Linked DNA regions of Pelodiscus sinensis. The protein of the gene in region 1 purifies or fractionates together with the protein of each later gene. This does not show direct contact. Links are inferred from orthologs where the notes say so. Each region holds a gene or a part of one and is shown in the gene's direction. Other genes may lie near its edges.

Region 1 (7,260 bases):
AATCCTGGGCTTCATTTGCAACTCTGTATGACTACATTACCCCCCCCTAGTTCGAACTAGGGGGGTAGTGTAGACATACCCTAAGGTACCACAAGACTCCTCCTCCGTTTTGCTGAAACTTACACAGCAAAAATAAATTATGAAATCAGTTATACCCAGCAGCACCCCAGCTGCTCTGCCCCAGGCGTCCTGATTCAGCCGCTGCTGGTCAGTTTCAGCAGCGGCTGAATCAGGACGCCTGGGGCAGAGCAGCTGGGGTGCTGCTGGATTGCTCCAGTAGCGCCGAGGAGCGGCGCTACTGGAGCAACCCAGCAGCACCCCAGCTGCTCTGCCCCAGGCGTCCCCAAGTCAGCTGCTGCTGAAACTGACCAGCGCTGACTACAGGAAGCCCGAGGCAGAGTTGCTCTGCCCCGGGCTTCCTGGAATCAGCTGCTGATCAGTTTCAGCAGCAGCTGACTTGGGGATGCTTGGGGTTCTTAAGTTGATTCTGTATGTAAGTCGGAACTGGCGGTCAGTTTCAGCAGCGGCTGAATCTGGACGCCAGTTCCGACTTACATACAGATTCAACTTAAGAACAAACCTACAGTTCCTATCTTGTACGTAACCCGGGGACTGCCTGTAGGACTTCAAGTGATCAGAGACATCAGTCCCAGCCTGATGGAGGAGACACCAGTCACAGCAACTTGGGCATGTCGAAAGTTAAATTGCTCTCTCTGCTGTTTTCTAGGAACCCAAGACAGATAGGGTTGCCAACACTCCAAGAATTACTCTTTAATTAAAGATTATGTAATGTGATGAAATCTCCAGGAGTACATCCAACCACAATTGGCAACCCTAAAAAGCAAATTATATTAGCCATTATCTTTACGGGGTTGGCTTTCATGCTTCTTTATAATACAGAAAAGAGGCCTGAAGACTTGGGTTTTTTAAATTTCAGAAATGTGCTTTTCTGGTTGACTTTTACATTACAAGTTAGAGTTTGTTCTGTTTTTCTTGAAAATTAATGATCACTGGATGAGACTGAGGCTCTATAGAAGAGAAGTTGCATCTGAAAGAGGCTTGTATTCAGGTTAATTTCTTTATAATAATATCCTTTTAATTCAGACACCTTATAATTTCTCATGCAAGACATTTTATTTCTGTTAAGGATTCAATATCCACTAAGAATGTAGGCCTTGATCATGCAAAAATGTATGCATACATTTCATTTCGTGCCTACTGTGAATAATCTCACAGAGTCCAGTGGAACTACTCACAGGCTATGTCTAAACTGCACTGTTAAATTGGAAAAAGAAACGCAATTTGCGGTATGCAAATTGTGTATCTTTTTCTGATTTACATTCGAAAGAGGCTCTTTTGAAATTTGTCTTTCTACTTGCGAAAGAAAGTGCTCTTTCAAGCTTTCCCTTATTCCTCATAGAACAAGGTTTACAGGGATGGCAAAAGAGCACATCCTTTCTTTCAAATTATTTTTTTTTTAAAACGGACACTTTCCTTGTACGCGGCGTTGTTTTTTGGGGATACTTCTAGTATCCTGAAAAAGCAATGGAGTCTAGACATAGCCACAGTGTGTAAAAGTTTAGTATATAATTAAGGCATCACAGGAATGGGTCATAAATGAGATCTACATTATGAATTTTTCCTAGTACAGTAAAACCTGTGTTATCCAGCCCTGTAGCAACCGTCCAGAAAGCTCTATAAACCAGCCTTAATAATATTAATATAAAGTCCAGTTTATAGTCCAGTTGCTAGGGGACCAGCAGGCTTCCTGCTTGGTTCTGCATGGCTCCTTGGAAGCAGACACATCCCTGCTGCTCCTAAGCAGAGGTACAGTCACAGGGGGTTTGGAGTGTAAGAGGAAGTACAGGGGTGGGAGCTGGGGCACAGGAGGGGTTTTGGGATGCTGGATTCAGGGGCACTTTGTTTAAGATAAAGAAAAAATTTCTTTTGAGCTCTCCCTTTTCCTTGATTGTCCTGTTGAAATGAATGAGGTGTGAATGGAGAATGAAAGGTGAGCACATCCAGCAGCAGTTGCAAGGGTCGAGAGGGCCTGGGAGCCAGATCAAGACAATACCTGTAAAGTGAGCTCATTAAGAAGACTGGACATACAGACAGCCTTGGGAGTCAAGCATCAAGTGCCCGCCCTTGAAAGACCTCTCTTTAAAGCATTACAAAGGCAAGGTGATGACTAACTGGCTGCATGAGAGGGATAAATATGAGGCATCTTGCAGAGGGACCCCGGATTATTCGTCTTGTCAACATGGGAGCATCGATCTGGATCGGCAGAAGCCCGCTCCACCCCCCCACATCTAACTCACTTGGCCAGTGCAGTTAACGGGAGCAACTCTTGGTAACAATAAGATGGAGTGTGCTTGTGTGTCTGTGTGTGTGAGTGCATAAGTGTAAGTATCATATGCATGTGAGAAAGTGTTGATTGATCTATGTATGTTCAATAAATGTGGCGTGTTGCCTTATCCCCCTGAAAAAGATCCCGTGTGCTTCTTTTAAGCACAACACTGGGAGTGACCAGACAGCCAACAGAGGCTGTCCCTGGGATGGACCTGGCTCCCGCATTAGGAAGGCAGGATAAGGGACCCTCTGAAGGTAGCTAGGCGGGCTGGGTTCTGGAGTGATGTAGTAGATAGGGCATTTGCTAGGGGAGTATAGGGTGGTGGGTTCAAGTCTCTTCTCCCCTAGGCAAGCTAAGTCCCAGCAACCAGACAGCTAACACAAGAGGGCAGTATAGACAGGCAACACAAATTTCTTGTGCAAGAAGCCCCTATGGTTAAAATGGCCATCAGAGCTTTTTTACGGAAGAGAGCATCTACACTGCCATGGATGCTCTTGCGCAAAAGCACATGGCAGTGTAGACGCTCTCTTGTGGAAGAGTTTTTGCACAAGAACTCTTCCACAAAAGAGTTCTTGTGCAAGAAGCTGCCAGTGTAGACGTAGCTCAAGTATGCTGCATTCTGGGCTGGCTCTGCCTGGTGGGAGAAAGGGGAGGAGGCTCTATATACTACCCCCTACCCCAGGCTGGAGGCATGTTAGGCATGTTACCATGAGTGCAGAGGATCTCTTATTCCTACTTCAAGTAGGAATAAGAGATCCTCCGGAATAGGGCTTTATTCCGGAGGATCGCACCGGTCTGGACGCTCTTTTCCGGCTTTTCCCCAAGCCGGAAAAAAAGTGGCGGCCATGTTTATTTAAATCCCATGGGGGATATTTAAATCCCCCGTGCATTTCCCTATTCCAAAGTTATAAATTAGCATGCCTATTCCAAAGAAGGGGCCAGTGTAGACACAGCCGCTGTGTCTAGACTGGCAAGTTTTTACGCAAAATCATCTGCTTTTGCGGAAAAACTTCCCAGCTGTCTACACTGGCCGTTTGAATTTCCACAAGAACACTGATGATCTCATGTAAGATCAACAGTGTTCTTGTGGAAATACTGTGCTGCTCCCGTTCGGGCAAAAGCCCTCTTGCGCAAATCATTTGCGAAAGAGGGCCAGTGTAAACAGCACAGTACTGTTTTCCGCAAAAAAGCCCCGATCGCGAAAATGGTGATTGGGGCTTTTTTGCAGAAAAGCGTGTCTAGATTGGCCACGCAAAATGCTTTCGCGGAAAAGCGTCCTGCCAATCTGGATGCGATTTTCCGAAAATGCTTTTAATGGAAAGCTTTTCCGTTAAAAGCATTTCCAGAAAATCATGCCAGTGTAGACGTAGCCTTACAGTTTACATTACAGGGCTGTGATAGCCCATTAACAGGGGCCTTGCAGAGACATGTGACCATGTCACCTGATGAGGGGATCCATCTTAGATACTGTAGATGACCCCAAGAGCAGAGAGGAAATTTAAGACTGAACACAAGGGATTGCTGCTTTTTGCAAAATCTATGTACTGGTGGAGAACAGGGATGTACTAGTGTAGGCGATTAACCAATACGCAAAAGCATATCAGTTAATGCTATAGACCATATGCATTTTCCTCCCCTCCCACATCAGCAATTTTTTTTTTAGCAGCAACCCAGCTCAGTCCTGGCTTGCAACAGGTCCAGCACCTCCCCCTGGTGCAGCTCTGCATGTAATGCGTATTAGGAACCAGCCAGGCTGGCACCGCACAGCCAGGCACCAGGGGGCGGAGGGCTCGAGGCAAAGGCTTTCTTTCTCACGCTCGCGAGGGCCAGCACCGCGCCTGCGCAGCTGTCGCCCCCCCCCTCCTCTGCCGCCGACGCAACCCGCGCCTGCCCAGTGCGCCTCTGTCGCCCGCGGCCCGACAGAACCGCGCCTGCGCAGTGATTCCCCCTCCCTCCGCCCCCTCGTAGCGGAAGTGGCTGGGGGGACGGGGCGCTCCAGTTCCGCCTCGGTGTTGTTCGGGCTGCACAAAATGGCGAAGATCGCCAAGACCCACGAAGGTGAGACACGGAGCCAGCCCCGCTCGCTCCCCCCCCACCCCCCCCGCTGCCTCAGCGCCTCGCGGGCCCGGGCCGGGCTGGCTGTCGTGGCGCGGCGGGCGGCGCAGGCCGCAGCGGGCGGGCGGGCCGGGCCTGTGTAATGGCGTCTCCGCCGGGGCCTCTCGGGCTGCCCTTGCGGCGGGGGGGGGGTCACACGGTGCTGGGGGGAGGGGCTGGGCCCCGCGGTTGCGCTTCCTGCTGGGAGGTGACGTGTGGCCCGCGGCGCCCCTGGAGTGGGAGCCCCGCTCCGCCGTGCGCAGCCGCCTCCCGGCCCGCTGGAGAGGCCGGCCAGGGGCGGTGACACATCCCGCCCGGCTCGCCTCGCCTTGCTGCCTGCTGCGGCCCGGGCAGGCTCGGGTCCGGGCGCGCTTTCCACGGCAACGTGTCGCGTCTGCCGGCGCATTGCAATTGACTCGCCGTCCACAGCAGGGGCTGGCCGTGGGTACCCCTGCTGGCAGCGCAGTCTCCCTGAGTCAGCTCGTCCTCGCTCAGCCTTCCTACCAGTGCTGTTTCTTTTGCAATAAGGGGGTTGATATCGGGTTGCTAGGGAATATTAGACAATTGTTGCTGACGTAGTGCCAGAGAGTAATGTTGTTTCTGAGGTACCCGTCGCCCTCTGCCCGCTTAAGGTTATACACCTGGGGTGGGGAACTTGAGACCCTGGGGCCAGAGGTGTCTCCTAGTTTGCCTGGCTCAGGGCCACCCCTCATCCTAGCATTGCAGAGCCTGCACTGGCTCGCCAACCCCCCACCCCCACATGGAGGGCTGGAGCACACATAATCGATTAGGCTGCCCCCACAAGGGGAATGTGGGAGTGTCTTTCTCTTCCATTAGCCACCTCAGTGAGGGGGTTTGTTTTTTTGTTTTTGCTTCTGTCTTGTGGGTAGCCCCCCAACTGGTTTTTCTGTGGCTCCCTGACCCCAAAAAAGTTCTCCACCCTGGCTATACTGTAATCTGTCATGGTCTGCAAAATTACTAGATGAGAGCCCAGTTCTACATGGGAGGAACACTGTTGACTTCATTGAGTCTGAGTAGGTATCAACAGATCTGTTCAGTCACAGTTTGCAGAATTGGGCCCTTAAACGCTTTAAGTGCTATGACAAATTATAAAAGGTGGGTTTTTGTTGGGGGGGGGGGTTATTTGTAGCCAGATTCATTACTTCATTTCCCCACTGAGTGTATGCAAAAAATGCCTTTGCAGAACAACATCTGTAATACTTCTGCTCTTGAAATAGCTTTATAACAAATTGAGACAACTGATAGAAATTATTTACATGTGTGGGGGACTACTAAGTACCCCTATTCTATCTGAATGCCTCATACATACGTTGACCATATGTTTTGATTTTTCCCGGGACTGTCGCAAATTAAAATGCTCTGTCCCAGTTCCCCATCAAGTAGTGAAATGTGCTGGAAAGCCCTGCCGTTCATTTCGCAGCTTGATGGGGACACCAGTGCAGCAGCCTCCTTCCCCAGGGAAGATGCAGGTACCAGGGGATTGTGGGGGTGAAGCAGAAGGGCAGACACAAAGTGGGGGAGGAATGGGCACCAGAAGAGAGAGGCGGGGCAGGTGGGTAGAGGGAGGTGTTAGGAGAGGGGATACGGAGGGGTAGCTTCAGATGATCAGAATGGGGCTAGAGGAGGAGTGGACATGGGGAAGAGAAGGGCTGGTGCAGGGGTGGGTACCCATAAGCAGGGCTTGCCGAGCAGCGCTGTCCAGCAATCTGTGCATACTCAGATCGCCCGAACCCTGCTCTTCTGGGTTGTAATCTACTTGCCACGGGCGAGTAGATTACATAGATTGTCGAGCCGGACGCTCTCTCGTGCAAGAAAGCTCTGATGGCCATTTTAGCCATGGGGGTTTCTTGCACAAAAAAACACTGTTGCCTGTCCACCCTGCCTTCTTGAGCAAGAGGTCTTAGTCCTTGTGGAGAGAGGAATAACTCTTGCACAAGAAGCCCTCTTCCAATGCTTTGCTGTACATTTACTTGGACAAGAACATGTGTGCAGTGTAGACGCTCCACAAATTTTTTGTGCATGAACAGCCATTCTTGTGCAAGAAGCCTGCAGTGTAGACACAGCCTGTGTGTTACCACTATGATATTTAGCAGGGCTTCCCTATGCTTGTGGCTCCAGCTGGGGGGTGGGTATAGGAAGGAAGTGCACAGATCCATCTTCCCCACACCCCAGGAGGGGATGGCCCAGAACACAGGGTGGGCTTTATTGGGTGCAGCCCCTAATTCTCCTTTTCTTAATCTAGCTCCGCTGCTGGGGTCAGGTGCATTCCTCCAGCCCAGCGGGGAGAGGCGTTTTTTTCCTAGTCATGGCAGCCCTGAGCCGCTGCACAGGGCTTATTTGGCAGCCGTGTGGCGGTGCAGCTTAGAGGGAACTCTACTTGTGGATTGTTCAAATCCTTGAGTGCCGTAGGTTTGTCAGCCTCAATTGTAAGAATAGATCAGACTTATCACTCTGCAGAAAATCTGAATATTCTGTGGTTTGTCAAGGCTGCAGTCTCTTTAGTATCTTCTCTGTGTTACCAGCTTTGATAACCCTAATTGACCAAAAATGGTAACAATGCAAATATACATGCCAGTCTTGCAAACATTCACATTCTCATAAGAACATAAGAATGGCCGTACTGGGTCAGACCAAAGGTCCATCTAGCCCAGTATCCTGTCTACCGACAGTGGCCAGCACCAGGTACCCCAGAGAGGGTTGACCGAAGACAATGATCAAGCGATTTGTCTCCTGCCATCCCTCTCCAGCCTCTGACAAACAGAGGCCAAGGACACCATTTTATCCCCTGGCTAATA
Region 2 (7,160 bases), on another chromosome or scaffold:
CAGCCAGCAGTCAGATGGCGAAGGATCCTTTCCTGGTTCTCTCCCTCCAGGCCTCCTGAGAGCAGCTCTGCCCGGCACGGGAACACCTCCTCGGCCAGCTGGGCCATGTCAGCCGCTGGGAGAGGCAGGGACAGGAATTCAAGCTGCCCTCGGGCCCACCCAGGGGCGGCCCATCCATATAGGCGAAGTAGGCGGTCGCCTAGGGCGCCAAGTTAAATGGGGCGCCAAATGGTGGCGCCAGATCATTGAGGAGTTTGGAGGTGGAGGTGCCGATTGCATGGGTTGCCTAGGGCGCCAGCTGCTGGCAGCTAGTCTAGGGCCACCCCTGGGCCCACCCCTAGCTGCACGGCCCAAGCTTGGCTCAGGATCCCCGGCTTTCTGCTCCCCTAAGCAGCGCCCCAACGGCTCGCAAGGGAAACCCACCGCGGGGGATGTGATCTGACACGGGCAATGGCAATTTGATCTCCAAGGGCCGGTGACAAAGATCAAACACAAGCCCGGGCTGGGAGGTGAAGCTAAACCAATTCAGACAGGAAGCGGGCAGAGATCTATAATGGGGAGGGGAATTTGCGACTGGCAGGGTTGCGGTGGGGTCTGTCGCTGGAGCCGTTTAGACCCAGACAGGCTGGTGTTTGGAAAGATCAGCTTCATTCACCCAGGAGCAAATTCAGGGCAGGCCTGTGGCCCCTGTTCTACAGGAGCTGGGGCCAGCTGATCCTACCAGTCCCTGCGAGAATCAGAGAGAACGTACCACACTGTTACCCGGCACTGGGGCCTTCATCCAGGCTGGGGCCTGCATGCGGGAGCCTTGCCAAGGAGAGCCGGTGTTTTTCCCGACAAAGCCCCACCTCCTGCAGCCCCGGGATTCCAAGGGATCTTGTGCTTTCAAAGAAAGCAGAAGTGTCCAGGCAGGCTGGACAGTGAGGGCCCGAAAAGCGCCAAAGGGGAGTCCCCAGCCCTGAGGGCGTAGGAGAGTCTCACGATCTCTGCCCGAGGCCGGTGTTAGCCAGACGCGGCTCCCAGAGGGGCCTTCTGCCTCGGCCGGGAAATTAGCAGCCCGGCCGTGGGGATTTTCCCAACCAAGGCGCTTGCAAGTTTCCAAGCAAACGAACCTCACTGGAGGGCCAGAGCCAGGAGCCGCAGCCAGGCAGAAGGCAGGGCTCAGAGTAAAGGACAATTAGCTCATCGGATCTGACCTCCGGTCCAGCACAGGCTGTTACGCGGGCCCCAGCTTCCCTCCACCGAGCCCAAAGCAGCCCTTCCGGGAAGGCGGCCGGCTCCCAGCAACGTCTGAATTTCAGCATGGCGAGAGCAGAGCTCCCATGGCTCCCTGGGGCCCTCTCTCACATACCGGTGACGGGGCCCTCTGGGGACTGGACTTCCTCACCCAGTCGCAGCCCGGAACGGGCTTTGGAGAGTCCCTCCAGCGCCCAGCCCAGTGCAAAGCGCCTGCCGTGGGCGATTGTGACGACTGACCTGAGAACATTTCCCCTTGGGCGGTGTAGCCTCTCTCCAACGCTACCCGCAGGATCCTCTCCAGGGAGATGTCCTGGGACAGACCGAGGAGGGAGCCTGCCATCCACAGTGCCACCAGCCCGCACCTGGGGGGGGAGGGGGAGGGAGAAGAGACATTGCTGGGATCCCGGTCCCCAGGCTGAGCTGGATTCAAAGACAGGTAATTCTCTGCAGCACAGTCCACCCTGGAATGCTTCCCTGGGTCACCGTGTCCTTTGGCCTCCTCTCCCTCCCGTTCCCGGCCTCCCCACATTTCTCGCTTCCCCTTGGGGCTATGATATGATCTAATGGGAGCATCTGGCCACAGACACCAGCTCCTGGCGTCGTTCCTCCTCTCCAAGGTGCGAGGTACAACTCACGGAGGCTGCCACTCGCCCCCCCAAGCGGGGGCTAGGGGGAGCAGCCGCTTTGTCTAGGGATGCTTGCTCAAGGTGGAAGAGGCCAGACAGTTCTAAGGACTGCCCCCGAGTGGGACGTTACGTTTAGATCAACTCGTCAGACCTTGTGCTACCTCCTCATGCTCCTTTTCCCTCTGACACAGCGAGTCATGCTTCCCCGGCCTTTTGAACTCTCGCCCACTGCTGGAGCGGAGCTCCCCGTAAATATCCACACGGCTCCCTCCTCTTCCTCCTGAGCAGCGCTCTGGGAAATTCTCCTTTGCTGGGACACCTCCAAGACACCTCACGGAGATTAGACCGCCGCTGTGCGGAGACCCCTGGCCACTACACTGGCATGGTCTCCTGGTCTCCCATCACTCCGTGCTCTGTCTGTCTCCACGGACTGGCTCTATCTTAGCCCGAGATTGCACGGCTCTGGGGCAAGGATGGTCTTTTAGGATGTTTGTCCAGGACCCAGCCCAACAGGGGCCTAGTCCGTGGCTGGGAGTCCTAGGCGCTGACGTAACACAACTGGTGTGTAACAGCAGCCAGCTCCCTGCCAGCTCAGACTGGCCAGGCCTATGCTCCTCGCCCTGCCATGCTCACAGAACAGCTCTTGGCAACTTTTGGGGAGGGAGTAAATGCCAGACGGGGAAGCTGTGGCTCCATAGGACTGGGACCCCAAACCCCTCCCCTCTTCCTTTGCCCGTGGTTGCAATACTCACTGAGGTCCCTCTTGGATTAAGGAAGGCACCGGCTTGTTGTACAGAAGCCACTTTAAATGCCTGCTAAAGCTGAAAGAAAGACCCAAACAAGCTCTTACTGCCCGTTTGCCCCGCAGCCCCTCTTCCCCAATGTGGGCCCCTCCGCGTGACTAATGTGAAGATCATGTCTCCTCCTTTTGGGAGAACTAAGCAGAGTGCTGACTTCATCTGCTGCAGGGTTTGCGGCGGTCTCTGGGGTGGGATGTGGCCACTGTCGGCCGGCCACACAGCCACGCCCCACTATGGGACAGGAAGTGGCCCAAGGTCCTGTACCCTCTTGCCTGGCCAACTGAATTTAGGGAAGCAAAATGGAATGATCCGAATTAGGCCCTGGCCAGGACACTGGAGTTCAGCACACCCGGGCTCTGGAGCAAAGAGCAGAGACCAGGCATGAACGTCTATGTCTCATTAGAGTTACGGGAACCTCCAGCAACACACCAATCTCTATGGCCATCCTGGGGAACTGGGGTCAGAGCTGAGCGATGCCTCCCCCTTCCCCTGCCCCACAGCGGCCCCTTGCGCTGCCGAGAGAGTGCCCCTCTGCTGAGCCCCGGCCCTGCTCCCTGCCCCACAATGCCCCCTTGCGCTGCCGAGAGAGTGCCCCTCTGCTGAGCCCCGGCCCTGCTCCCTGCCCCACAATGCCCCCTTGCGCTGCCGAGAGAGTGCCCCTCTGCCGAGCCCTAGACCCGCTCCCTGCAGCACGGGCACCCCTGGCGCTGGGAATACCAAGCGGGTCGCCCACCCAGGCCCGGCGCGGCTCAGCAGGCGAGACTGGCGGGACCCAGCCCGGGGGGGTGACCGGGCGGGGCCCCACCTGGCTGTCCTGCGGCTCAGCAGCTCCCGGACGTCGTCTCTGCCCCCGGGCGCGGGGGCCGCTCGCTCCAGGGCCGCCTTGAAGAACTTGGCCTTGTCGACCCCGCACACGGGCAGGGACTGAGCAGGGGGGGGCAGCGGGGGAGGCGGCGGGGGAGGGGGCAAGGCAGGGCCGGGCTGGGGGGTGGGGGGAGGGCCCTGGTGGGGGGTTAGAGTGGGTGGGGGAGGGGCAGGCACCCCACCCCTATGGGCCATCCCCGCCCTGGCTGGGGGCAGCAGGAGGTCAAAGGGCGCAGACTAGGCCAGGGGTCAGAGGTCAGTTGGCGGGCGGGGGGAGGGGGCGTGGCTTGGAGGGGTCAGGGGTCGCCACCGGGGGCGGTGTCAGGTGCCCCCCCAAGAAGGCGATGGCGGGACAGGTCTGCGGTCGGACGAGTCTAGTCACGTGGTTGGACACCCGCTTCCTTTGTGTCTCCCCTTCCTTCCGGGGCGCGCGCCAAAGGCCGCCAATCAGCAGAGCCACAGCGGCTACTGACAGCTGCTCTCAGCCAATGGCCGTTCAGGGGGCGGGAGTTACCTTGCCGACCACCCGGCTTAGGCGGGCGAGCCACGCTCGCCCCCTGCGGATTGGTCCCTTTCCAGGCGCGCGGCACGGCCGGGATTGGCTCCCAGGCCCGGGGCCGACGTCCTTTCATTGGCCGGGGCTGGCAGGGCGCGCTTTTGGATAGGCTGGTGAGGCCGAGGCTGCTTGGTGCTGATTGGCCCACGCGGACGGCGCTCTCGGCGCGGCTCGTGTGGCGGCGGCGGGCGGCCTGGGCCTGCGGACTCCATCGGGCTCCATCGGTGAGCGGCCGCGGCGGGGCCGGGCCATCGGGCCGCGGGGTCGGGAGCCGGGGCCGGGCCCGGCCTGGGCAGCCCGGTATTGGCGGGGGAGGGGGCGGTATTGGCGGGGGAGGGGGCGTTTTCCGAGGGGGTGGGGTTCCCGGGGGGGGGGTGGTCTCTACATCCGGGTCTCTCCCGGGCGCAGAGCCACGTGCTGGCTCCCCTCCCCCCAGGGTGGGCGCCCTAGCTCCCTGGGGGCGGGGCTGTCGTACAGTGGGGGGCGGGGCTGCCCTGCTGACCCGCCCCCCCATGGTGAGGTCATGACCCCAGACGCGGCCCTGGCTCTCTGTGTGTGCTGGCTGGGCCAGGCAGGAGTGAGCGAGCGGGTGTGTGGGGGGCGTTACCCGCGCATCACACCCCTCCGCAGGGGGGTGGGGGGGGCGTTACCCGCGCATCACACCCCTCCGCAGGGGGGTGGGGGGGGCGTTACCCGCGCATCACACCCCTCCGCAGGGGGGTGGGGGGGGGCGTTACCCGCGCATCACACCCCTCCGCAGGGGGGTGGGGGGGGCGTTACCCGCGCATCACACCCCTGTGCAAGCTCTGACCTGCTGGGATCCCACTGCTCCAGCTACTGGATGGGCACCATGGGGATCTCCTGGGGGCCATGACCCCTGGAGCCAAACCCCCCCCACCCCCGCCCATCATGGGGCTGCTGTGGCCTGGGGAACCACATCGCCATGGCTCGGGTGTGTCCGTTGACTGTCTCTTCTCCTTAGACCCCGTGGTTGCGAAGCACTTAGGATGGCTGTCCCGGAAACCCGCCCCAATCACACCATCTACATCAACAACCTCAACGAGAAGATCAAGAAGGATGGTGAGCCAACTCCCGCGGGCGTTCCTGGCCTGGGCTGGCCGTGTGGGTGGGCTGAGGGGTTGGTACCCACGGCGCGTACTTCGGAGGAGGCAGGGGCTCTAATCCCTGGCCGTCCCCGGTGCCATCTGGCTGAGGAGGACTGACCCCCTCTCTTTGGTGTGGCAGGTGTGCACCGGAGTTGCTTGCTTTGCCCCAGCTCCGCTGTGTGCACAGCTCCTCGTGGCGGTCGAGCGGTGTCTGTCCGATCCGTGTGCCTAACTGTGTGCCTCTCCCCTAGAGCTGAAGAAATCTCTCTACGCCATCTTCTCGCAGTTTGGCCAGATCCTGGATATCCTGGTGTCTCGGAGTCTGAAGATGAGAGGCCAAGCCTTCGTCATCTTCAAGGAAATCAGCAGTGCCACAAATGCCTTAAGGTCTATGCAGGGGTTCCCCTTCTACGACAAGCCCATGGTAAGTGCTGCGTGCTGCCCCCCCTCCTGGGGAGGGAGCCAGTCTGGAGGGTGCTGTTGGAGTGGCCAGAGGTGCCGGTTGGCCGTGCTCCTCCTGATGAATGGTATCTCCCGCCAGAGGATCCAGTACGCCAAGTCAGACTCGGACATCATATCGAAAATGAAAGGCACCTATGTGGAGCGGGACCGCAAGCGGGAGAAGAGGAAGCCCAAAGGCCCGGAGACGCCCCCGGTCAAGAAGCAGATGCCTGGCACGACCGCGCCGGTGTCAGCTGCGGTGCAAGGAGCTGTCCCTGTAAGTAACACCAGCAGCTTCTCTGACTGGCTCAGTGGCTGGTTGGCAGGCGAAGCTAGGGCCATGGGGGAGCCTTTCCCTGTGCGGCCAGTGTGGTCTCAGGCTGTTCCCAGATGCAAAGGCTGCCGGCTGTGTTTGGCTTCTGCGGACAGCTGTGAGTGCCAGGGCTGCCAGCTCTCAAAGCCTCCAGGGCAGCTCTGCACCCAGGATCTTGCTGTGAAGCCAGGCCTCCCTCTCTCTTTCTCCTAGGGGATGCCACAAATGAACCAGGGCCCTCGCATGATGCACCACATGGCAGGCCAGCCGCCATATATGCCCCCTCCGGGCATGATCCCCCCACCTGGCATGACTCCGGGGGGTATGGCTCCTGGGGGAATGGCCCCTCAGCAGATGATGCCAGGCCAGATGCCGCCGACCCAGCAGGTGAGTACAACAGAGCACGGCTTGGGAGCCGCCCGGTCGGACCAGAGCTTCCTCCAGGCGTGGGGCTTGGGCCGTTCCCCTCCAAGACGCAGGCTGCGGTGGGCAGTGGAAGAGAGCTCGGAGGCTCGTGTGGGATGATCTCCGAGCCAGTTGCCCCTGCTGAGAAGCCGGGAGTGCTGAGGCCCGGAGGGCGCTGGTGCATGGAGATCGGGGGCACTTTCCCCTGGTAATGGGGGTGAGGAGGGGGCTGCCTTGGGCACTGCCCCTGCTGTGGGCGTCTGGCTGGCGCCGCCCTGCAGGGCTCCCGGCCTCACTCTGCTCTCTCCCCCTCAGCTCTCGGAGAACCCGCCCAACCACATCCTCTTCCTCACCAGCCTGCCGGAGGAGACCAACGAGCTCATGCTCTCCATGCTCTTCAATCAGTGAGTGCGGGGCCTGGGCCCTCTGGGCGTGCCGTGTGGGGCTACCCCCTGGGGGGGAGGTGTGGCTTGTGGGCACGGTGGGGGTACGAGAGCAATCCAGGGGTCTGTCCCTCTGATGGCCGGATCCTGCCCCCCAGGTTCCCGGGTTTCAAGGAGGTGCGGCTGGTGCCTGGCCGGCACGACATCGCCTTCGTGGAGTTCGATAACGAGGTGCAGGCTGGCGCTGCCCGTGACGCCCTCCAGGGCTTCAAGATCACGCAGAGCAACGCCATGAAGATTTCCTTCGCCAAGAAATGAAGCCCCCCGGGGCCCAGGACTGCTCCCCTCACCCCCAGTTAGTCTGTTCTCAACCAGCCCCCCTTTTTAAACCAGTTCCCTGGCAGGTAAGTCTGGCCGCAGGGCTGGC

What was found.
Region 2: the proteins of SF3B1 (region 1) and SNRPA fractionate together in Homo sapiens (co-fractionation; 4 studies listed by BioGRID and IntAct, with this or other methods). This does not show direct contact. The link is inferred for Pelodiscus sinensis from reciprocal best matches to the Homo sapiens genes SF3B1 and SNRPA.

Annotation. Positions count from the first base shown.
Region 1 is NC_134717.1:71,442,383-71,449,642, reverse strand, and holds the start of SF3B1 (splicing factor 3B subunit 1), read left to right. Parts: upstream 1-4,260; 5' UTR 4,261-4,380; coding exon 4,381-4,408; intron 4,409-7,260. UniProt on the Homo sapiens protein: Component of the 17S U2 SnRNP complex of the spliceosome, a large ribonucleoprotein complex that removes introns from transcribed pre-mRNAs.
Region 2 is NW_027465849.1:7,412,431-7,419,590, reverse strand, and holds the start of SNRPA (U1 small nuclear ribonucleoprotein A), read left to right. Parts: upstream 1-4,150; 5' UTR 4,151-4,309; intron 4,310-4,361; exon of another isoform or gene 4,362-4,385; intron 4,386-5,067; 5' UTR 5,068-5,092; coding exon 5,093-5,165; intron 5,166-5,442; coding exon 5,443-5,615; intron 5,616-5,732; coding exon 5,733-5,909; intron 5,910-6,158; coding exon 6,159-6,332; intron 6,333-6,665; coding exon 6,666-6,754; intron 6,755-6,891; coding exon 6,892-7,051; 3' UTR 7,052-7,160. Other genes in the region: ACTMAP (actin maturation protease), read right to left, coding at 1,477-1,601, 2,618-2,686, 3,471-3,724. UniProt on the Homo sapiens protein: Component of the spliceosomal U1 snRNP, which is essential for recognition of the pre-mRNA 5' splice-site and the subsequent assembly of the spliceosome. U1 snRNP is the first snRNP to interact with pre-mRNA.